3 linked regions of the Macaca fascicularis genome follow. The main gene of each other region encodes a partner of the protein of the gene in region 2 in a complex. Links are inferred from orthologs where the notes say so. Each region holds a gene or a part of one and is shown on either strand. Other genes may lie near its edges.

Evidence for each region.
Region 1: the proteins of SYT1 (region 2) and SV2A are in contact, whole or in part, in a crystal structure (PDB 4V11), measured with the Homo sapiens proteins. The link is inferred for Macaca fascicularis from reciprocal best matches to the Homo sapiens genes SYT1 and SV2A. Residues at the interface, in NP_001129277.1 of Homo sapiens: Thr291, Lys314, Lys326, Lys327, Lys328, Glu342, Ser343, Phe344, Ser345; in NP_001315603.1 of Homo sapiens: Asp82, Thr84, Glu85, Gly86, His87, Asp88.
Region 3: the proteins of SYT1 (region 2) and CPLX1 are in contact, whole or in part, in a crystal structure (PDB 5W5C), measured with the Rattus norvegicus proteins. The link is inferred for Macaca fascicularis from reciprocal best matches to the Homo sapiens genes SYT1 and CPLX1. Residues at the interface, in NP_001028852.2 of Rattus norvegicus: Glu271, Thr383, Gly384, Glu386, Thr406, Leu407, Gln408, Glu412, Met416; in NP_074055.1 of Rattus norvegicus: Val61, Met62, Gly65, Asp68, Lys69, Tyr70, Lys74.

Annotation. Positions count from the first base shown.
Region 1 is NC_088375.1:111,363,199-111,371,413, forward strand, and holds part of SV2A (synaptic vesicle glycoprotein 2A), read left to right. Parts: intron 1-397; exon of another isoform or gene 398-503; intron 504-4,075; exon of another isoform or gene 4,076-4,100; intron 4,101-4,249; 5' UTR 4,250-4,424; coding exon 4,425-5,046; intron 5,047-6,311; coding exon 6,312-6,492; intron 6,493-7,317; coding exon 7,318-7,469; intron 7,470-7,588; coding exon 7,589-7,722; intron 7,723-8,215. UniProt on the Homo sapiens protein: Plays a role in the control of regulated secretion in neural and endocrine cells, enhancing selectively low-frequency neurotransmission.
Region 2 is NC_088385.1:86,310,436-86,318,650, reverse strand, and holds the end of SYT1 (synaptotagmin-1), read right to left. Parts: intron 4,105-8,215; coding exon 3,898-4,104; 3' UTR 1,017-3,897; downstream 1-1,016. UniProt on the Homo sapiens protein: Calcium sensor that participates in triggering neurotransmitter release at the synapse. May have a regulatory role in the membrane interactions during trafficking of synaptic vesicles at the active zone of the synapse.
Region 3 is NC_088379.1:864,578-872,348, forward strand, and holds the end of CPLX1 (complexin-1), read right to left. Parts: intron 4,823-7,771; coding exon 4,625-4,822; 3' UTR 3,063-4,624; downstream 1-3,062. UniProt on the Homo sapiens protein: Positively regulates a late step in exocytosis of various cytoplasmic vesicles, such as synaptic vesicles and other secretory vesicles.

The sequences.
Region 1 (8,215 bases), on a different chromosome or scaffold from region 2:
AGTTTGAGAGCAGTGGAGAAGGCAAGGGAGGTGTTTTGAAGGCAGCAAAAGCCCCTGAAATTATTGAGTCCTGCCATACTGAGACTGGGGTGCTAAGGAAGGGGCTGCCACATTCCCCATCTCCCTATCTTCCCACTAGTCTTCCTAACATCACTGTTTTTTTCTTTAGTCCCTTTTATCTTTTACTAGGAAGGGCCTGGGAAGGGCTGTGTGCCATTTCCAGCTGTTCTTGTGACAACCCCCGGCCCTTTCATGATTTCTCCCCGTGCCCTGACTCCCTCCCCATCCTTTTTTCTCTCCCCCACCCCACCAATGGTCTCTCCCGATGCTCAGTGGCGCGGGGTGGGGGTGGGGGGGGGCGGCGGAGGCGGGGCTGGAGTGGGGGGGGTGCAGGTCTGCATTGCCGCTTCCCTGGTACCCGGAGCAGTCGCCGCTGCCGCCTCCGCCCGCGGCCGGGACCCCCGTCGTCGCCTGGGACTCCTTACCCGGGAAACCCAGTCCAGGTGAGACCCCTCTCTCAGTCGCTCACCTCCACCCCGCCTCTGGCAGAAGCATCTTTGCCTTGCCTTGCAGCCATTTTATCCTCCGATGCTTTGCTTATAGGGAGGGTGACGATCCCCTCTCTAGGGGTGAGGGGGGTTGGTTGGTTGGTGGTGGTTTGGGGATGTACATTTATTTCAGTTGTGCTCTTCAGGACACACACACACACGCATATGTTTAATATTGGTGAATGGGGAGGAGGGGTGTTTTTCTCTACCTTAACCAAGTCCCCACTATCCCCTTCGGAGATTAACGGGGTGGTGGGGTTGTGAGGTGCGTGGAGTTCCCTCAAACTCCTATCCCCTCCTCACCTTGACGTCCCCCCACCCCCAGGATGAATGATAAATGACCTTGGCTGGGGCTGGAGAATGGATGCTGCCTCAGTGTGCGCGCCTGGACTCGGGTGGGTGGGGTGGGGGGGGGGCAGGGGAAGAAGGGCAGGTGAAGGATGGAGGGAAGGGGAGTGAAGAATGGACATACTGGGGAGACAGAAATGGAGAGCGGCCAGGTGTTGGGGGCATGGATGGCGGGGGCTGGCGGCAGTTGCTCCAGGGTTGGGGGAAGGGGTGTTGAGTGAAGGTGGGCACTTGTCTAGCAGCAGGACCAAGGGTGGAGGAGGTGCTCAGAGCAGGGATTTAGTCAGTTTTGGGGGCTTTTCCCTTATTCCGGAGCTGAGGCAAGATGGGGTGTGGGGGGGTCCCTGCAAATGCTGATAGGGGCGGTCTCTAAGTCTGTGCGTGCGGAGGTCTCTCCCTGCGTCCCCCTCTCTGCCTCTCCGTATTCCTCAGTGTGCATTCTCAGCTGACACCCTCATTTTTATCCCTCAGAACTGTGGGTGCTCCCATCTTCCTAACCCTGGGTAGGATGTGGGGAGGGGAGGCACAGCCTTGATGGTCCTGGGTGGGGGCTGAGGTTCAATGACCCCGCTGTCATGGGGAAGGGGTGCTCCCGCACCTCCCACATTCTACCCTGCCCCCGCGGACGTTTTGATAAGTGATTGCTTTTTAATGACCTTGTCACCTGAGCTAGGAAGGCCTGGGGATCTGGGTGGCCCCCAAAGTCAGGGACTTTGACTGGGAGGAGGGTGGGGGGTTCTGGACCCTCCTCTGATCCAGGGCTGGATGAGCTGTTCTGAAAGGAAGCATTTGCTCTGGAGTCCCCCGCCTGTCTCCACCCTCTGCAGAAAATCTCCTGGGCACATTTTTTCCTGTCAGGTGAAGTCAGCCAGCCTAGGACCTTGTAACCCTGAACCTTGTCTCCTTTAACCTCCACTTCTCCAAGTCTTGTCTCTCTCCCCCAGGCTTAGCCACCCTGTGCTGTTTTTGGGGCTAAAAATAGCACCACTTCCTCACCAGCTCAAAGAATTTGTCTTCTTTCTCTCTCTCCTGACCTCCTGGGCTTGCTGGCCCTGAGGGAGCTGACTGCTGAGCCCTCATATCCTGCTGCGGTTGTGGAAGGCTTCTCTGCCCTACATGCCCCTCCCAGGGGGAAATAGGGTCAACAAACAGAGAGTATGGCTCCTGGTGGGTCCTGCCTCCTTCAGGGCTGGAGGGGAGATCCTGGTTAGGAAAGAGAGGAAAGCTAGCAAATTGCCATGCGCTGAGGGGATTCCACAGTTCCAGCGCTTTCATGGGGGATGGTTGGGCCCTGAACAATGAAGAAAAGGTGACAGGGGTCACTGCTTCTGGTCACCGTGGTCCACTGCTTACATCTGTCCTGAGGGGTAAGGCCCTGCTTGCCAGTGCTTCTCTCTGAACCACATAGCATTGCTTACCCTCTTCTACCAGGGTGTGTGTGTGTGTGTGTGTGTGTGTGTGTGAGAGAGACATTTAATGAAGGCTCTGGATGGGTGGGAGCACCGGAAATTTTTGGGGGAATGATTTCTGATCAGAATCTAGGCCTGCTTCCTCTCCTCCTATGAAGGAAGGGGGGCTATCCCATGCCTTCCTCTGGAGAACGTCTTTTTTTGGGGAACACCCAAACCCCCTTTATTCTACATCCACCTCCTACGCAATGCGGTGTTTGTGGACTCCTTCTTCCTTGACTCCTGGAGGAGGAGTGGAAAGGATTAAGGGGGATTAGGAAGGGAGGCCCTGGAGGGATGGGACGCAACTGTAGGCCTTAGAACCTCATGTTGGAAATGCATTTGACAGTCATTTCCATTCTCACCCCCATCCGTGGAAAGGGGACCCATCTATGACATTCTGAAGCAAGGTGGCAGTGGACAGTCATCACCTCTTTCTTAGCTTTCCATCTTTCCTCCACTTTACTTGGGTTCCAGGTCCCCCTTTTCTGGGTCTCCCCTTGTTTTTCCGGAGGTAGTTAATGTGGGCCCAGCTGCTGGAATTAGTTGAAACACAGACAGGGGGTCTTGGGACTCTGTTTGCAAGGATGCTGGGCAACAGCATCTAAGTATGACCCCGCTGTTGTCCCTTGCTGCTTCTTGCTTCTTTCCCACTTTTCAACATCATAGGAAGGAAGAAAACTAACATAGAGCATGTACTGTGAGATTACATTCTCACATCAACTCCAAGAAACAGTCTCCCAATGTAATTATCCCCAATTAAAGTATATGGACTCTGAGGCTTAGGGAGGTTAACTAGCCTGACCGAGATCAGTTAGTAAGCGGCAGAGTTGGGATTTCAACTTAGGTCACCCCTAATGGTCATGTGCTTTGCCCTGAACCAGCATTCTCCTTGCCAGCGTCCCTTCCTGCTGCTCACCCTAAAGAGCATCCAAGACGGCTTTCGTTTGGGGACCTTATGAGGTAGTATAGGGCATTTCACTATATTACTGTCACCACAAAAATAATAGTTAATATTTATTCATCATTTTTAAGTGCTAGCTGACTTACGTTAAGGAGCACAGATATATCATTCAACCCTTACTTTCCCCTTTTAAAATAAGAAGAAACTGAGGCTTGGTCCCTTAGCTAGCAATTGCCAAAACAGGAAGTCAAACCCATGTCTTTGTGACTCTGGAAGCTGAGCTTTTACCCATTAGACTATGTTGAGAGAAAATCCCTCCTTGTTGAAGCCTGTAAACATGGGACCTGAAGGAAGGACAGTGGAAGCCCCTGCCTTCAGATGCCATCAGTGGAGGGAAGGCCACAGGTTGGAGGGCTTGTCCTCTTACACATCCTTCTCAACTCCATCCCCAGTAAGAAACCCAGGCAAGACTAAAGAAGGGAATTCTGGTTTCTCATATTTCCTGTTCAGTTCTTTGCAGATTGGTGATAAAGCAAGGGCTGGGCTGGGCTCGGGGGTTAGGAGAAGGGCTCAGAGTAGGTGACTGTGACTTTGGAGCAAATTCCATAGGCCAGGCCTCCAAGGTCAAAGTAAGGGGACTTCTATGCGAGTGACCCGGTTAGCCCAGATAGCCATCCCTTTTTAGTGTGTGAATGGGAGCCTAAAGCGAGAAGACCATCTCTGCACCACATGGTCCAGATGGGGCTCTGGGTTGAGAAGCTTTATATTGGCCTTCTTCACCACCTTAGGACTCACAACTTCCTTTTGCTGTCTGTTATTTTTTCCAGGTCTCCAGAGGCTTGTGGAAGAGAAGTAGGCGACCCTTCCTGAGTTATCCTGGCTTAGCCTCCCAGTCTGGCTCCCCTTCCCCTTCCCATTCCCCTGCTCCTCCTGTCCCTTCGCCATCCACCCAACTGAACTGGGTATAGGTCAAAGTTCCTCTCCTTCCTTTTCTCTCCTAGGCACTCATTGGCTAGGACCTGTTTGCTCTTTTTTTGTGTGCCCAAAGATACTGGAACACACTTCATCTAAGTAACTGTGGGGAGGGGTCTTTTTGACTCTACAAGTCCTTGAGCAAAAAGCTGAAAAAGAAGCAGGAAGTGGAGAAGACCCGGTGAAGTGCCTCAGGGCCCCATCATGGAAGAGGGCTTCCGAGATCGGGCAGCTTTCATCCGTGGGGCCAAAGACATTGCTAAGGAAGTCAAGAAGCATGCGGCCAAGAAGGTGGTGAAGGGCCTGGACAGAGTCCAGGACGAATATTCCCGAAGATCCTACTCCCGCTTTGAGGAGGAGGATGATGATGACGACTTCCCTGCCCCCAGTGATAGCTATTACCGAGGAGAAGGGACCCAGGATGAGGAGGAAGGCGGTGCGTCCAGTGATGCTACTGAGGGCCATGACGAGGATGATGAGATCTACGAAGGGGAATATCAGGGCATCCCCCGGGCAGAGTCTGGGGGCAAAGGCGAGCGGATGGCAGATGGGGCACCCCTGGCTGGAGTAAGGGGGGGCTTGAGCGATGGGGAGGGTCCCCCTGGGGGCCGGGGGGAGGCACAACGACGGAAAGAACGAGAAGAACTGGCCCAACAGTATGAAGCTATCTTACGGGAGTGTGGCCACGGCCGCTTCCAGTGGACACTGTATTTTGTGCTTGGTCTGGCGCTGATGGCTGATGGTGTGGAGGTCTTTGTGGTGGGCTTCGTGCTGCCCAGCGCTGAGAAAGACATGTGCCTGTCCGACTCCAACAAAGGCATGCTAGGTAAGACATGGGGGGCTCCAGCCCTATCCCCTCAAACTCTGGAAACCTCCTTGCTCCTGGAAATTGCTCTTGTCCTTACCACTGGGTTCCCTAGGACCCTGCACCCAAGATGTTCCTGGAGGGCTCAGGGCTCCTCTGCACACTCTTCCCTCACACACTCCCTCTTCTTGGCCTTGGGTCAGAGTGAAGTTGAATGTGAAACAGGGACTTGCAGGAGGGCAGTTGGACTGGGGCTTGGGCCAGTGGTTGGGTGGTGGTCTGCTTTATTCTGCAGGAGGTGGCTGTGGTAGGATGGTCCTTACCATTTAATGTTTCTTCATAGCTTTCCCTCTGGTTATCTTATTCCATTTCACTGATTGGGAAACAAGAAGCCAGTATCCAAACTCCTTGGTATAAATGGGGAGAGTCAGTTTGGGGTGGTTGGGGGAGGGGGAGGGTCCTGGATCTTCTGCCAGAGAAGCTATTTAGACTTTCTCTCACTCAGACGGGAATTTCCAGGGGACAGAATGTACTGTTTGATGACCTTTCCTGACAGGGACTCTGAGGAGGAACCCCCTAGACTCACAGAGAAAGAATCGAGGCCTTACTCTGCCACCAAATTGCCATGGGGTCTTGGACAGGTCTCTTCTTCCTGGGGCTTGGTTTGGACATGAGAAAATATGAAGTTTGGAGTAGATGATTTTAAAGATTAATTCCAGCTTTGGTTTTATGAAGGAAGTGAAAAACAGGAGAGTTTTTGGACTAGAAATATTGAGACTGGGAGGAAGAAAGCATGGATTTTGTGTGGGGGATTTTCTGGGAAGATGAAAGGAATTGGAGCCCCTTTCCCCAGGAACAAATGAGAGCAGTCTTGCTGCTTCGAGGGATCAAAGCAGGGAGAATAGAGAGGACCCTGGGATGGTCTGGGATCCTAGGCACACCCATTCCTCCTTCAAAGTGAGCCAGGGGTAAGGGTGTCACTGTATGTGTGTGTGTGTGTGTGTGTGTGTGTGTGTGTCTCACAGTGAGAAATGAGACAGACCGAAGACAGTGGAGAGTTGTAGGTTCTCCCGTATCTTCATTCCTGCCTTTGAACGCCTGGCCTGCAGAGATGACCTTCTATCTTTGCTCACACCATTCATTTTCTCTCACTTGCTCTAATCTCTGGGTAGACTTAGCTTCTAGAAGTTCTTCAGATCCTTCAGCTCCCTCAGTGCTCATCTCCTGGGAGAACTGAGGTGTGTCTTCTCACGCCCCCTCTGCCTCTGTTTTCCTCCTCCTTCCAGGCCTCATCGTCTACCTGGGCATGATGGTGGGAGCCTTCCTCTGGGGAGGTCTGGCTGACCGGCTGGGTCGGAGGCAATGTCTGCTCATCTCGCTCTCAGTCAACAGCGTCTTTGCCTTCTTCTCATCTTTTGTCCAGGGTTACGGCACTTTCCTCTTCTGCCGCCTCCTTTCTGGGGTTGGGTGAGTGTCCACTTCCTAAGCCCCTTGAGGGCAGTACTGTGCCTTGGTCACTGTTGCATCTTTAGGGCCCAGCACAGTGCCAGGCACACCAAATGCACCTTAAATCTGTGTGAGTTGAATGGATGAATGAGTTCCTTTCTCCCCCAACCATCTTCAGGCCAGCTCCTCCCTGCCCAGGACCTGTCTACTACAGTCCAGAGTGCTGTTCCATGTCGGCCCACTCCTGAGTCCTCCATCCCACTTCTAGTTCCATTTTTGAGCCTGCCTCCACGAAGAGGCCTACTGGGCCTCAGCCCCACCCCTGGACTCCTGTGGACCCAGAGTTACCCCCTACCAGAGTCTACACATTTCCTGCATTCCACAACAAACCTTGCTAACACCCACACCTGCCAGAACCCTGATGCGTTGCCCACACTGCCCCTTCACTTTTGCACGCATGGCAGGCACGCTTACTCTGCCTCAACTCCAAGCTCCTTTCTGGCCGTTCCCACAACATCTGCCCTTGGAGGCTTTTGGGTTGTCTTTTTTCTCTGGAGATTTATTCTCTTTTCTGCAATTACCTTCCCTCCCTTCCAACTCTGTAAGTCATTTTCAAGATTTAAGATTTGCTCTTTCCTTTTCCCTGAGACTTGCTTGCCTGTTTCCCATGGTCCCAAGGATGGGTGCTTGATGGCTGGCCCCCAGGGGAGCTTGTAGGGCTTTTTGTGTGAGATGGAATCTCTTCAAAAGCCTGGAAGACAAAAGGGGCTCAGGGTCCAGAGCAGTGGGGCAGGGGATCAGGACTATGGCCATTTGCTAATGCTGAATTCTTGAAATGTGCTCCAGGATTGGAGGGTCCATCCCCATTGTCTTCTCCTATTTCTCTGAGTTTCTGGCCCAGGAGAAAAGAGGGGAGCATCTGAGCTGGCTCTGCATGTTTTGGATGATTGGTGGTGTGTACGCAGCTGCTATGGCCTGGGCCATCATCCCCCACTATGGTGAGCAGCCCCCCGGAATCCACCCCAGGTTATCTCCCTCCTCCCTCTTCTGTGCTCCCTGTGGTGGGTTCCCTTAGCCTCTGGCCTCTCTGCTGATGCTGTCACTCTCTCCCTGCCAGGGTGGAGTTTTCAGATGGGTTCTGCCTACCAGTTCCACAGCTGGAGGGTCTTCGTCCTCGTCTGCGCCTTTCCTTCTGTGTTTGCCATTGGGGCTCTGACCACGCAGCCTGAAAGTCCCCGTTTCTTCCTAGAGGTGATGGAGCTGAGCTGTGTGGGGTGGGGTGGGGTGCAGGCTGTGGAGTGTGGAGAGCAGCAGGGGCTTCTGTGTTCAAACACCCACTGGGGTTTGATTTGATCCTGTTCAGCTGCGGGCCTTCCTCACAGCGTCCATTCTCTGGGGGACTTTATCTTGCATCTTTTGCCTTGGAATGTATCCCTGAGGGGTTCTTGGGTGGAGAAACCAGGGGACCTCTTCACCCTTGGATGACTTAAGATTTTGCAGGGAAGGGCCTTGGCCCTGTCCTGCATTTACAGCTCAAGAGACATTCCCACCCCCTACACCTTCCCCTCCTAACCCCAGCAGGATTAGGTCTTTGACTACATGCTTGCCCATCATTTCCCTTACCTATGGTTGCCTGTGCTTGCCTTTTTCCCCTGGACAACACTCCCCACCCCCAACCTGCAGCTCTTGCCCAGGTCTGGTCGTCTTGCTATACCTCAGCTCGGGGCTCTTTCAGAGTGGGCAG
Region 2 (8,215 bases):
ACACAGCTGTCAGCTATCAGCAAGCACTACTTCTAGCAGCTGCAACAAGAGTACCTCTCTGCTGAAGGGGGATCATGGTGATACACCATGGTATCCACTACGATTGAGCCAGTAAAAGTCCTCAGGGATAGGCCAGGCACAGTGGCTCACGCCTGTAATCCCAGCACTTTGGGAGGCTGAGATGGGTGGATCACGAGGTCAGGACATGGAGACCATCCTGGCCAACATGGTGAAACCCTGTCACTACTAAAACTACAAAAATTAGCTGGGCGTGGTGGCAGGCGCCTGTAATCCCAGCTTCTCGGGAGACTGAGGCAGGAGAATCACTTGAACCTGGGAGGCAGAGGTTGCTGTGAGCCAAGATCGCACCACGGCACTCCAGCCTGGCAACAAAGCGAGACTCTGTTAAAAAAAAAAAAAAAAAAAAAAAAAAAAATCCTCAGGGACCCAACACCCTTACTTTTAAGTGCAAATACAGTGCATTGGGATGGTGTATTTACATCAGCCTGAGACTGTGGGCTCCAGCATCCAGTACAGTAGGCACTTGATAAATGTTAAATTTAGTGGAGGAAAAATGTTTACTTCTTTCCCCTAGCAATTGCAGTAGGCATAGAATCTAGTGTATTATGCTGTCCTCTGAAACTGGGGTTAAAATAGTCTTGTTTTCAGTCCCATTCTGGAGAAGCTATGTGACTTGGGTTCTGGAGTGAAAACCCCGAAGGACACATGTTGGGCAAAGTGAAGAGCCTCAGAGTTTGCCAGATGAACTGATGACAAACAAGCATAGAGAAACACATGTTGAGAATGACACTGCCCAGGAACACCACGCGGTCATGGCCAAATGCTCCCGGGTGTTGTCGTCCCTCCAGCCATTCTGTATTTAGATGTGACTCAGACGCTGGCATTCAGTGCAGTTTTCTTTAGCTGTTGCTGCTTCCAGGAGTCCCCCAAAGTCAACAGGCCACTGGCTTACCACCAGAGTCAGGCAAGGAAAAGAGTGGGAAGGCAGCAACATCAACAGGAAATAAAACATTTTTATTGAATATCTGTGTAATATGTTAAGTCATTTTTAACAACAATCAGAAAACTACTGTGGAATTCACTACACAAAGTGAAACAAAATTTAAATCACCTCGTCAAAAATGAAGGTAAAATACAGCTGAAGTAGTTGGCTCGCAGGCCACGAGCCATATGGCAGAAGAAAACACCCCAACATTTCTACAAGATACAGGGAAAACCCACACATAGAAACACTCAAGCAGGCAGTAAATATACACAAAGGCAACTAGGATCTTTCTAGAGCATCGGATTCTAATACTTTACACAGCTTTGTCAGAAGGGTACATGTGGCTTATTTGAGGATGAATCTTGGTCATAAAGCAGGTTCCATCACTGACTTGTGAAAGATGGCATAGTACCAACTAATTCTATGGTGACAATCCCATTTCTGGCAGTGTTGCAAGAGAATGCATTAGTAGTACTTTAATGCAAGAAATAATGTATATTCAGCAGCTTGAACCTGCTTGTTTTAAAGTGTGGTTTCATTGTGTACAACTTAAAGCTGAATACAGTGAAATTAAATGTTTTTTGTGGTATTTAAATATTTTTTAAAAGCCAGTCAACTCCCTCTCTTTGGTAGGGTTTGGCCCTTTAAATTGGAAAGAGTCTTGTTTGAATTTTCTGTTCAAACCGTTATTTAATTTCACATTCTGACTTGTGTGTATTTTCTATTGCCTATGTGTTTAAAGAAGTATGGACCATCAGCAGACGGTGATGTTATTTTCCTTTTATACTTTATGTCTGTGCCAATTGTAAAGCGTTTGCTGTGTCTGGCCTAAAAGGCAAAAGTGCCCCTTCTTTGATAAGGAAACAGTAACGACAGGAATTCCAGTTTTATTGGGAAACAGCCAACCCCATGTTCAAAGCCTACCATCAGCCCTTTTTGAATTCTCTTTAGTTTTTGAAAAGACATGGTGTGATATCATGAAGACTGAACATGAGGCCAATGCTTAGTTTTCCTCCATTTTGTTTTGGTATTTGTGAAGACAAACTTTCATTTCACAGCATCGTTACTGTCTGTGGCCTGGGAATTAAAATGGGTCACAGAAGTGAATGGGAGAAAAGGCTAGATGCAGCGTGAGATAATAGGCTGCCCTTCCACTAAGTGGTTGTCTACCATAGTGGGGAAAAATATGGAATATTGCACAGTGCTTGACAAAATGCTGTGTTCCACCCCATTCTATGTATCTTCCTTGTCCTATGCATAGCTTTTCAGTTCTGGATTGGTCCTTTGTAATGAGAACTGTTTGTGCTACACACACCTTGGGCAGTGCAGTAGAAGGGAATGGCAGTATTGTTACAATATCACTACGGAATAAATTGAGTGCTATCCACTGAGGAAACTACGGGTCTAAGCACACACGGCAGTCACAGTGTTACACAGAGCAGTCCTTTAAGACTCTTATGGAATGACTAGTAGCTTCATAATAGTGCCATTTACTACATAATAACATTGAAAACGTTTAAAAACTCCTCCTAAATCAAGCATCTAGTATACCTAAGAGGTTGCTTCAGTTTTCTAGAACTTGTTCTTGGTTTGTTTCACCTTTTTTTAAAGGACAAATTAAAACTTATTTAAGTAAAAAGAGCATATAAAAAGATCACTAGCTGTCTGTTTTGGCTTAATTGAAGTGCATTCAGAACTATGGCTAATTGTTGTTGGTTTTTTTTTTTTTTTTTTCATCTTTTGATGGGATTACAATACTGTCTGTTTACCACAAAGTAATTTTGTGTAATAAGCACAGATTGCTGTGTTAAAAATATCCTGCATTCCTTCTAATCTGGTTTTATATAATAAAATATTTTGTTACAAACTCTAATGTGCAAACCTTTTGGAATTACGATAGGTGTGAAATCTGGAACAGAATTCACAGGATGCACATTTTGTATAAAGGTGATAACGGAGAGCTACTTTTTTCTTTTTAAATAGTCAGGCAATAGTTCATAAATGTTAACTTATCCCCTTAGCTTCTTCTCCCCCAACCCCAAACAAATGTGTGCACACCACACACACACACACACACACACACACACACACACACACGGAACACCTTGTTGTTATTCTACAAGGAGTAATATGAAATCATTGACTCCTGTTCAGTTGCTTCCTCAAATGTAAGAGTGAAGCCATTATTTTAGCTTTGTAAATATGTACAGACAGATGCTATTCTGGTTTGTGGCTATGCTTCCTTGAGGTCAGCCTGGATGCTGCTGCTCAGATCATGCTATTTTGCCTGTGAAGGAATTCTACAAAATTGGATTCACCCACCAAGTATGTGGTGTAAGTTTATCTTGGTTCTCAAATGATTGAATAGAAAGCTCAGGTTTAAGTTGTCCTTTAAGATGTCAGTTTAACTCTACTAGTGCCTTACGAGTTGATATTTTTGCTGGAATGCAGACGATACTATATTACCATATAATATATTATCAGCTCTCCTATATCTCAGTCAATTTACATAGTTTAAAATAGAACATCTTATTAAAAACATCTAGATATACACAGATTAGGAAACACAACATACAAATACACAAACTAGAAATAAATCTTTAGCATACTGGTATATACAACAGTGTGATACAATAAATAATTTCAGTCATGCTCTATCTACACATCATATTGCTTAAAAGAAGAGTAGATTTGGAGGGCAGTGGTATGATGAAGGACTTAGGGGCTCTCTACATTTAAATCTGTGCAAATTAAAACAGGATTCGAAGTACCACTGAATTGTGTTAAGAATGCATGGCTGGAAAAATGAAAGGACCCATATTACTGAGGTATTTACAGATACTGGCTAAAGAGCACTATATGGGCAAATGCAGAAAGGCTTCTTCTTTCCTTTACTTCTTGACGGCCAGCATGGCATCGACTTCCTCCTCTACCTGCAGGGTGTGCCACTGGGCAATAGGTCGCCTGGGGTTGGCCAGCATATCTGACCAGTGTCGCAGCTCCGCGCCGGTGCTGTTGTAGCCCACAAAGACTTTGCCGATGGCATCGTTCTTGCCAATCTTGTCATAGTCCAAAACAGTTACCACCACCTGCACTTTCTGAAAGAAGACATGAAACGAATATGAATCATCTAGCTCTAGAGACAAGGCCCGACTATAAAGCTTCCTTGAGCACTAAAGAATTGGAAATAAAAGAATCAGTCTCCAAGCACTAGGATGAGGATGAAAATGACTTGAATGTAGAAACTTGAGTCCAAATTTCCTTTTTCCATTACTATATCATAATTGTCACCATCATCATCTTACTACTCAAACGTTAATTTTTGTTATATATGTTGCACTGTCTTTTACATGAATGAACTCAGTTACTTCTCATAATAGATCCTATTAATATTGCCGTTATACGGATAAGGATGCCTGAAGCTCTGAGAAGTTAGATAACCTGTCTGAGGTTGTTTAAGGAAGGAGTTGTTTGGTTTTCAGAGCCTATGCTGTAAACCTCCGTGCCATGGGGTCTGTGTCAACTTGTGCTAACCTCTAAATTCATTTGCTTCAATTGTCTCATCAGTGAAAGTTCTAGCATTGGTGTTCAGGCCACTCTATTTGATTACAATTCCCAAAGCAACCATGTGCAATAATCCAATTTCAAGGGGGGGACAGCATGTTACAAAAAAATTAATGTAGAATTTCAACTAATCGTATGACTGTGAGCATAAAACATGACATTATAGTGAAAGTCTTTAAAAACTACTAATAAAGATTTTTTTTCTCATCCATATATTCTCTTAGTAAACATTTACTGAGTAACTACTATGTATCTGGCATTGATAGCAAATGTAAATATCATTTTAGGCTACATAGGATTTACTTCAATGATTCCATCAGATTTTGAAAGTTTATTTGATAACTTCCTTTTCTGAATGATTAAACTGATGAAAGCAAACCTGTACTATTATGGTATAAAAGATATACTTTTTAAAAGCACATTTCATTTCTACTTTCTGAGTAATTAATTTACTTAGCAGAATATGTGATGGTTTCAATCTAACAGCTGAGTGTAAGGATAAGAGTTTAAAATAAATGGAATATATAACATTTATTGCCAGAGTTAAAAGTAGCAGAAAATATAATTATAAAAGCTAGGGCCAGATGAAGAGCCAGCTGAGTTAGAGCCCTTTAGTGGACTTTATATGCTGAAGACTGATTTATTATATTAATGAAATGAGAAATGTCATTGATACACAGCTTCAGAACAGAGAAAGCACTCACTTCTGAAAGTGGAATTTAGAATGTAAAATGCAACACATTGGCAATAAAAGAGACAAACTTCCCTGGGAGTGATTCCATTGTTAAAGGAATTAACTATCCACTGGGTAGTTTCTGGAAGCAAGAAGAGGGCTATATTGATTCTTAGAACTTGTCCTAAGCAAACTTATCAGGAAGCAATCATATTGTAATGAATGGGGCGGGGCACATGATACACAAAGGCAACAGAAGTTTTTAGAGTTTGATTATTCCACTTAGGAACGCATTGATTAGTAGCATTCAAGACAAAATATCCTTGTGAAGCCTTTGGATTAATGTTTCCAGCTGCATATGTAGTTTATTTCTACATTTGGGGGAGGAAGTCTGACATTTTCACATGCATTTAGAAATTCGCGTATTTTGCTTCTTTCATAATACATTTCATAGGGATAGAGAAAGACAGAAGAACAGGCAGATTGTCTTATAACCTCAGGATAAGGGAAACTTAAACCCCTATTTTAGCATGTGAAATACTCAATTATTTTTTTCTAGGAAAAGGTAAAGACTAGAAAAGTTGCCACCTATAAAAAAAGGAAAAAAAAGGAACAAACTGACTCAAGGAGTACAGAAAGAGGGATACAGCCAAAGGAATGCTCATTGTTTCCATGTCTAATGTACTCTGTATTGGGCTTAGTTTCTGTCTGTCCTGACAAAATGTTATTGCCTCTGAAATGCTGCCCCAGAAATCTAACCTATGTGTTATTTCTCATGTGCTTCACTTTCGATATATTTGCATTTTCTGCAGTTTGTAGTTGAAAAGGATATTTATTTTAAAGGCATAGAATTGTAGCTCAATGGGAGTTTTCATCTCAGTGCCTTGCTTTATACTATTTAGTGAAATTAAAAAAATTAAATGCCAGGAGGTGTTAGTTTCCATAGGAATAAGGTCTTAGAACTTTGAGTTCACTGAAGAAATATTGCAAATAAACTGTTGGAAGAAATTGATGTTTTGAGGGTTTGTGAGTGAGTCCAAAGCAAGGGGCCCACTGGTTCAGGCTAGCGAACAAGTTATTGGGAAGAGGGAACCGGTGTTCTCTGCATTTACTTATATAACAGATGTTGAAAATAAATAAGTATGTATAATTTTGACACCATGGGAAAATTTATATGATAAATGTTATATTTAAAGCTATTAACCAATATGAAGATGGTAGAGTTATTGGTTATTTTTGGTAATTTAAGACGCCCTATACTACACAGTAGCTACCAGCCACATCTAGCTGTATCCATTTAAATTTAAATACATGGAAGTTAAATAACTTTCCTTGGTCAAATTAGTGACTGAGGTACTCATTTGCCACCTGTGGCTACCATATTATTGGACAGCATGGATGACAGAATATTTCAATCGTCATAAAATTCTATTAGACAGCACTGATTTGTATACTGATTTAATCTTATGGTTAGATCCATTTTCTAATAAAATGCTAACTTGAAAAAGAAAGGACATTAGCATGTGAATAATAATGATGATGATGATAGGACCGTTTACTGTGTGTTCCTATGTATTGGGCGCTGTTCCAAGTGCTTTTATTGCATAATCTCACTTTGACAAGGACTCTTATCATTCCTACTTTATAGATAAAGAAACTCTAAGCCTTAGTTTTTTTACATATAAAATTGGGATAATAACAATAGTACTTTTCTCACAAAGTTCTTCTAAGGATGAAATAAGATTACATACATAAAGTGGTTAACTTGGACCTAGGCATTTTTTTTAATATATATATATGTCTTTGGATTAATGTTTCTATGAAGAAAGCTAATATAATAGCTATACTTATTTTATATATGTATATATTATATAGCTATACTTATATATATAAAATACATATTTTATATATATATAAAATAAGGTAGCTATATTAGTTTTCTTCATGGAATAAAGCTGTGATTCATTCATAAGATACTGTCTTCTAAGAATAGATTAAAGGTAAATGAAGACACAACTGGGCCTATTAAGGGTGGTATGGCACTATTCACAATAGCCAACATATGGAATTAACCTAGGTGTCCAACAACAGATGAATGGATAAATAAAATGTGGTACTTATACACAATGGACTATGATTCGGCCATAAAAAAGAATGAATCCTGTCATTTGTGGCAGTGGATGAAACTGGCAGACACTATGTTAAGTGAAATAAGCCAGGAACATAAAGTTAAACACTGTATGTTCTTACTCATGTGGAAGCTAAAGAAAAGTTGATATCATAGAATTAAAAGGTAGAACAAAGGATACTAAAGACTGGGAACAGGAAGATAGGGAGAGATTTGTTTAAGGATACAAAATCACAGCTACATAGGAGGAATGAGTTCTAGTGTTCTGTACCACTATAGGATGGCTATAGTTAACAATAACATATGATATAATTTCAAATAGCTACAAGTAGGATATTGAATGTTCCCAAACCAAATGATAAATGTTTGAGATGATAAATATGCTAACTACTCTGATTTGATTACAATACATTATATATATGAAAACATTACTATGTGCCCCATGAATATGTACAACTACTATTTGGCAATTAAAATAAATAAAATAAAATACTAAAGAATATTTGTTATTGCGGACCTTTAGAAGGTTCTTCGTTGTAGGTTTGATGTCTGCTCTTTGTTTCTCCTTCAAGTTATGGGCAAACTTTTACATCACTGAAAATATACACCTGTGCCAATTATTGAATAAAATGTAATAACAGTGTTGTTTCATGCAGTTTGACTCTATGATGCCCATTAAAGATTTGCGAGAAATGGCCCAAAATTATTGGATATGAACTTTAGATTCTTTTTTTTTTTTTTTTTTTTGAGACGGAGTCTCGCTCTGTCGCCCGGGCTGGAGTGCAGTGGCGCGATATCGGCTCACGGCTCACTGCAAGCTCCGCCTCCCGGGTTCACGCCATTC
Region 3 (7,771 bases), on a different chromosome or scaffold from region 2:
CCACCACTTACATGTTTATCATCTGCCTTCCATCACTAGGAAAACCAGTTCCAGGAGGGAGGGACTAGTATTCCCAGCCCCTAGAACAGAGCGCCACAAATCACAGGGGCACAGTAAACATCTGGGGAGGAGTGCCTTTCCCAGGAGGACTCGGACCCCATCACCTGAGGTGAGAGCTGGATCCAGGAGAAGCTCAGGTCTGACCCAGCTGTAGGAAGGGCTGGTCTAGACTCCAAGGGAGCCGGGCGTGGTGGCTCATGCCTGTAATCCCAGCACTTTGGGAGGCCGAGGTGGGCGGATCATGAGGTCAGGAGATCCAGACCATCCTGGCTAACATGGTGAAACCCCGTCTCTACTAAAAAAATACCAAAAAAAAATTAGCTGGGCATGGTGGTGGGCGCCTGTAGTCCCAGCTACTCTGGACGCTGAGGCAGGAGAATGGCGTGAACCCGGGAGGTGGAGCTTGTAGTGAGCCGAGATCTCGCCACTGCACTCCAGCCTGGGCGACAGAGCGAGACTCCGTCTCAAAAAAAAAAAAGGCCGGGCGCGGTGGCTCAAGCCTGTAATCCCAGCACTTTGGGAGGCCGAGACGGGCGGATCACGAGGTCAGGAGATCGAGACCATCCTGGCTAACACGGTGAAACCCCGTCTCTACTAAAAATACAAAAAACTAGCCGGGCGAGGTGGCGGGCGCCTGTAGTCCCAGCTACTCCGGAGGCTGAGGCAGGAGAATGGCTTAAACCCGGGAGGCGGAGCTTGCAGTGAGCTGAGATCGGGCCACTGCACTCCAGCCTGGGCTACAGAGCAAGACTCCGTCTCAAAAAAAAAAAAAAAAAAAAAAAAGACTCAGAGGGAAAGCTGCCTGGGTCGTTGCCTGGCACGTCCAAGTTGCTGCTCAGGCTTGCAAGGGGGTCCAGACCAGGTTATGGGTGGGAAATGGGAGGCTGGGGGAGGATGGAGGCCGAGCAGTGGCTGGATGTTGAGGTGGCCTTCTAAGAGCAGCCCTGCTGGGGAGCAGCCACAGGCACAGGGGTGGGTGCAAAGACACTGAGTTTCAGTTCCAGGGAGGAAGAGGGGCCAGCTGCTGCCTACTCGGCAGGGGAGAGTTCACCCTGGGCAATTTGGTGGTGCCTGGGGTCCACACTTCCCCAGAGGCAGCAGGAGGAAGAGCAGGATACACCCCTCCATGGGCTTGGAGGAGAGCACATTCCCTCCCAGATCCCACCTGGCATCCAGGAGGGCCCGGCCTGGGGGCAGGGCACATGGGGTCCTCCTGCCCTGGGACTGGGCAGCTCCCTGGGGCATTCCCAGCCAGAAGCGTCAGGAAGATTACAGGAGACCCAGACATGCTGCTCCCTAGAGAGGGCTCCTGACAAAGATTTTTTGTGTGGTCAAACTTTAATTAACTTCCTGAATCTTCTGGTAGGCCCATTGGCCCACTTCCTTGTAAAATTCTGTTTTAGCAAAGAATCTGGCTAGGTCAGTTTAGCAACAAACCCTCATCCTGGAGATTTAATTGGGGTCCTCATCCTCCACCGCCTGACGGGTCTGTCTGATTGCCCTGCCTGTCTCCAGCTAGAATCCAGTTAGATGGGGTTAGTCAGAATCCCCCAACCCTTGATGTTCCTCAGTCATCTTCTGTCCACTGAGCCCACTCTGCTCCTTGGCAACACACCCATTGCAAGCCCTATTGCATGGTCCCTGTACCTATGGCGCTGGTCCTGAGCAAAGCCTTCCTCACCAAGCTTTAACAAATGTCATGGAATCATCTTCGCTTTTTTTTTTTTTTTTGAGATGGAGTCTCGCTCTGTCGCCGAGGCTGGAGTGCAGTGGTGCAATCTCAGCTTACTGCAACCTCCGACTCCCAGGTTCAAGCGATTCTCCTGCCTCAGCCTCCCAAGTAGCTGGGACTACAGTTGCATGCCACCATGCCCGGCTATTTTTTTCTTTTGTATTTTTAGTAGAGACGGGGTTTCACCATGTTAGCCAGGATGGTCTCCATCTCCTGACCTCGTGATCTGCCCACCTTGGCCTCCCAAAGTGCTGGGATTACACGCATGAGCCACCGTGCCTGTCCTGAGCCACCGCACCTGGCCAGAGTCACCGCACCTGGCCGGAATCATCTTTTTTTTTTTTTTTTTTTTTTTTTTTTGAGACCGAGTCTGGCTCTGTTGCCCAGGCTGGAGTGCAGTGGCCGGATCTCAGCTCACTGCAAGCTCCGCCTCCCGGGTTTACGCCATTCTCCTGCCTCAGCCTCCAGAGTAGCTGGGATCACAGGCGCCCGCCACCTCGCCCGGCTAGTTTTTTGTATTTTGTAGTAGAGACGGGGTTTCACCGTGTTAGCCAGGATGGTCTCGATCTCCTGACCTTGTGATCCGCCCGTCTCGGCCTCCCAAAGTGCTGGGATTACAGGCTTGAGCCACCGCGCCCGGCTGGAATCATCTTTTAACAGCTTCCAAACATGGAGGTCAAACAAGGACGTTCTGGGGAAGCAAGTGGTGGGCAGCAGCTAGGGGTGGGCTGAGCATCCAGCGGATTGAGTGTGGGCGGGACCCCCAGCAACCAGGCAGAGGGGCTGTTCTCTGGGCTGGGGTGAGGAACCTCCTCTGGCCTTAACCCAAGTTGGCAGACATTTCCCTTCAGGGATCCCAGTCTGGGACTCAGGAGGAGGGACAGTCCCACGGGGATGCTTGTCGGGGCAGGAATTCCTGGTTGGGCAGAGGCAAGGGCAGCACAGGGTGACCTGGGGCCCCGGGCCGGTGGAACTGAGGAGAGGCACAGGCCCGTGGTCGGGATCTAGGTGGGAGGGAGAGCAGAGGGCAGAGGCTTTGAGGTTCCGTGGAAGACCCAACCTGGGGTCAGGTCCCTGAAGGCGCAGGTCTGCGGTTTAGATGGAGGTTGCTGTGGCTGGACGGCCTGGGGAAAATGAGTCTGAGTGGACGGAGCAGGGTGAGAATGGTGGGATGCCCTGCAGCTGCCCGTGGAAAGAACATGGACTGGGGAAGGCCCGGTCCTCCCACCGGCTGGCGGAATGGACCACTGGAAGGAATGGCCACACGGTATGAAATCACTGGTGTTTATTGGCTGTGATTCCATCCGGAGAGAACACACGCAGGGGCCCCGACATGCAGGAGGAGGCGCAGGCGCAGGACAAACGGACAGAGGACACCACGGTCTAAGCTAAGCTCGCGGCCCCGGGCGCCATGCGCTGGGAACGGGGTGCGCAGGTTCTAAGAGAGGACGCCCTGTCTGCTCAGAGCTGGCTTTGAAAGGTGTGAAAACAGGAGTTTTTTTAAGACACGACCCGGGAGAAGTCAGCGAGAGGGCACAGGGCGAGCAGGACGGACAGCGGCGTCCCCGTGGGCCGCGTCGCTGGGGCGCAGAGGGGCGCGGTGGTCTCTGCCGGGAGGGGCGTAGGTCGTTAGTATTGCAGTCTAACGTTATGGCTTCTCTAAAGCTATGTAAGGTCATGAAGGTCAATGCCAAGCCAACCCTGGCCCGAAACACGTGTGGACTTGATGCATTTGTGATGTGGACGGAAAGGGCCTGGGGGGCGAGGCGACGCCTGTCAAGGTAAAACTCATTAAATGCAAAGACCTCATTTACCTGAGATTCAACAAATTGTGATGCAAATTAAACATGAATGGAGGAGAAACAGGGACTCGGAGGCCGCCCCGCAGGGCCACCAGGTGGATTCGGCCACACTCGCGCCCGCTGCGCGCAGGGAACCCCGCAGGCCCCACCCGAGGAGCTGCCCACGGAGGAGGTGCTGGGCAGGGTCGCAGGGTCTCCAGCGTCCGGAGACCCCCTGGGTGCCTCGGGCCTCTGCGGCTCCTGTGGAGGGTGCAGAGTTCAATGGGCGAGGGCAGGGGTCCTCCCCAGGGAGAAGCAGCAGCCGCGTCGGCGGAGAGGCCAGGAGGCTGGGTGGGGGGCGAGGGGCGAGGACTCGGGAAGAGCGGGGTGACGGGGGTGGGGGGCTTAGCGTCCCCCAAACCTATTGCTTTGTTTCCTTTAGTTTAGTAGTGAACACGGCCGTGGCGTTCGTAAGAAGCAAAACCTTCCAGAGAGGAGAGGAAAGGATGGGGACAGAGACTGACGGACAGGGGCGCGAGGGGGGCAGCCTGGGGGGCGGAGAGCGGCCACGTGCGGGCGCGAACACTCACCGCGGCGCGATCCGAACCCCGGAATCCGCGCGCGGGAGGGGGGCCCAGGCCCCGCCGCCCCCGCCCCGCCCGCACCCCCCCATCTGCTATGGCTGTGCTCCTGAGTGCGGGCCCGACAGGCGCCCACCGCCGCTAATGAGTGCACAGGGGTGGTCGCGGGGCTGCCCTTCCGGCGGCCCTGGCCTCGGGCGCTGCTGGGTGGGCGGTAAACGGCAAGAGGAAGGGGCGTCCCAGGCGATGGGGCTCCAGCCACCGGCGGGCAGAGGAGCACCGGGCGGACTGGGGGGTCCTGGGGGCGCACGCCCCTCGGGTAAGAGAGGGGGCAGGCGCAGGCAGGGCGGGCCTGGGGCTATGGCTTATATCGGCGTAGGGGCTGCACTCTGCTCGTCCCTTGGGGGCCTCCGCGGAGGGTCTGCAGGGGGGAGGGGCGGGGCTCCGCGGGGCCGCTGTCCCGCGCGGGGCTACTTCTTGAGCATGTCCTGCAGCGGCCCGGGCAGGTACTTGATGACGGTGTCCAGGATGCTCTCGTCCTCCTCCTCGACCTCGTCCCCACAACCCGGCGGGATGGCCTTCTTGGGCCGCGTCAGGCTCCCCTCGGAGTTGGCCTCCATGGCGGCCTGCGCCTCGGCCTCGCGCTCCTCCTTCTTCTTGATGCCGTACTGCGAGGGAGGTGGGGGTCAGGGCGGGGGTCCCGGCGGCTCCTAGGCAGGCTGCAGCCTCCCTGGGCCAGGGACTGGCCCAGGAACCCCAGGAGGCGTGTGCGCGGCCCCCTGGCCCACGAGACAAACGAGGACCCCAGAGGGAGAAGAGACCCCTCGCCGGGGGGTGCCTGGAGGAGTGGGAAGCCCCCACGGAGAATGGGGGCCAGCAGCTGAGAAGGGGGAGCAGGGGATGGGGAAGCTCCCATCTTCCTTGAGAGGAGAGGGGGCTGTGGCCCCACCTCTGGCTCCAAACCCAGCCCAGCCCCTGGCATTCTGCCTTCCAGGAAGCCTCCAGCTTGGGGCAGGGAGGGGTGGGCAGGATGCTGTGTGGCAGAGGTGGGGAGAAACAGTCACCCTGCAGCTGACCCTCCTGCCCAGTGCCTGGTCCACGACCTGCAGTCACTCCTGGGCCTGGCCAAGGCTGCCTGCATGCGGCCACAGCCCCAGCAGGGCCACTCCCTGGCAGGCCACTTCAGCTCCATGGGCAGCTGGCAGAGGGGCCTGGGCGGCGGTTACTTCCAGGCACTGGGTGTCCTGGAATCCTGCCTAGTTGTGACCTCAGCTGGCACACCTGGGCCTCACCGAGCCCCTGCCCACCCCCGTTTCTCATCTCCTGTGTGTGTGTCTGCCCTCTGTAGCGGCTGAATACTGTCCCCCTCAAACTCATGTTGCCTGGAGCTTCAAATGTGATCTCGTTTGGAAATAGGTCTTTGTCAATGTGATTATGGTAAGGATGGGGACGAGGCCATCCTGGATTTGAGGGGCCTCAAGTCCAGTGAGAGTGTCCTTGTAAGAGACAGAAAGGACAGACACCCGGACGGGGGCGGGCATATGAAAGCGGAGGAAGTCGCAAGTGGTGAGGCCACAAGCCAAGAAACACCAGGGGTTGCAGGGCAGCCAGACGCAGGAAGGGGCAGGGAAAGGCCCTCCCCCAGAGCCTCCAGAGGGGGCATGGGATTTTGGCCTTCTGCCCTCCAGGCCTCTAAGTTTCTGATGCCAGGCAGCAGGGTTTTGGTTCTTAGATCAATACACCTCCCCACCCCACATTCCTCCAGCCCTCCTGTGAGCCGCCAGCCCAGGAAGCCTGTGGTCATGGTGAGGCCATGGAACTACGGAACAGCCTCTTGCTGCCCAGGAAGGTGGGAACCAGTGGGGTTGGGCTGGCCTGGAAGGATTGGGGGCCTGGTGTCGTACAGGAGCCGGTTGTCCATGCCCTGGGCAGGACCCCCGAGCCGGGTCCAAGGCCCTGGGTCTGAGATTAAGGATGCTCTAGAGCAGTGAAGGCGTCAGCAGCTGTGTCCAGGAGAAAACTTAGAAAGGGAGTGGGCACCAGCACTTTACAGGACCGAGGAGCACACCACGGGATCGACAGCCGCAGGGAGGAGCCTTTCTGCCCAGGAGGAGCCCCTCCCTTGCCATCTCCTGCTCCTGTCTCAGCAGCCCCTTCCCATAGAAGCGGTTGGTTCTGCTCCTGGTGCTGGGCACCCCCTGGCTCTCCAAGGAGGCCCCTCCCTCCTCCCAAATGGAGGCTGCCTGTGTGCCCCCCAACCCCACTGAGGGCAGTCTCGGCACCTCTCCCCTTCCCTGGTGCTGCAGGTGGCTCTGGGTGTGGGGGGCCAGGGCCACCTTCAGTGAGATGGAAAGGAGGGTGCCATGCTCCCAGCGGCCTGCGGCCAGAGCACCACCTGGCCACTGCGGAGAGAGAGGGGCTGTGGGCTCGCCCTGGTCCTTAGCAGCCCCTGCACACTCTTGACAGAGCTGGGACTCCAGGGATCTCCTCAGTGAGGCGAAGAGTGCAGGGTAGGAACGTCCTCCACAAGGACAGGGGCATCACCCAGAGGGCCCTGCAGGCCCAGAACAAAGCCCTGACCCCGCGGGGCAGCAAGAGCAGACTGGTTCTGGTCCTAGCCATCCACAGCAGGAGGGACAGCAGCTCCAGGTATGGAAGTAGAGGGGGCATGTGCTCCTCATCCTGTGGGGCCAGGGGTGTGCTGGGGAGAGCAATGCCACTGGAAGCTAGGTCTGGCCAGAGAGAGCCTCCTTCCAGCCAGGGGTATGGGGGTCTGTGCATGCGGCGGCCACACGTGTGCCCAGCCCAGGAGGCTGTGCTGCCCATGGCAAAGGCACTCAGGAACACGGGTGTGCTCAGAGGAGCAGGCATGTAACAGCGGGAACATAAGTTGTGTGAGCAAAGGAACCTCCTGGGTCAGGGGAGTGACCCTTGGGGCTTGGGGGACCCTGTCTGCAAAAGGTGTGGGGTCCTTCCCTCTGGGCCCAGGAAGGAGACTCCAGGCCCTGCCACCAGGCTGTGGGACACTCAGAGCTTCACTTGAAGTGCCAGTTGCTGCACTGAGGCTCCAGGTCATTCTGAGGCTGAGGTCATGCTGGACTCGGCCTGAGGGCCAGGGTCACTCCGCCGGGAACACGGGCTCTGGGGCTGGGCTGCACGCCGGAGCCTGAGACCCGGTTCTGAGGCGTCTGCTCCAGAAACAAACGCCCAGGCACACCCAGCCCTAGGCCCGCCGTGATGCTGGTCAGCTGCTCTCCAGGAAGTAACACCTGAGGATGGGAGTGGCTGCTGGGGGAGCCTAGGAGGCCCTGACACATCTGAGGTGAGACCCTGAACCCTGAAAACACTGTGTTCCTGAGAAGAAAAGGGCAGTGGGTGCTAATCAATACTGAGAACCAACAATAGGAACGATAGGACCAAACACCCAGCATTCGGCAACCAGGAGGACACCTGCTAGGCGCCGTGTGGGCTGTTGGGGGTGGGGGGGATGCAGTGTACTGGGGCAGCCTAGTGGGCCCTCAGAAGGCCCATGCAGGAAGGCCCAGGCGTGAGCTGCCCGACATGGGTGGCTGGAAGCTTATGTAAGCCAAGGGCAGGTCAGTCAGTGCGCCGAGCAC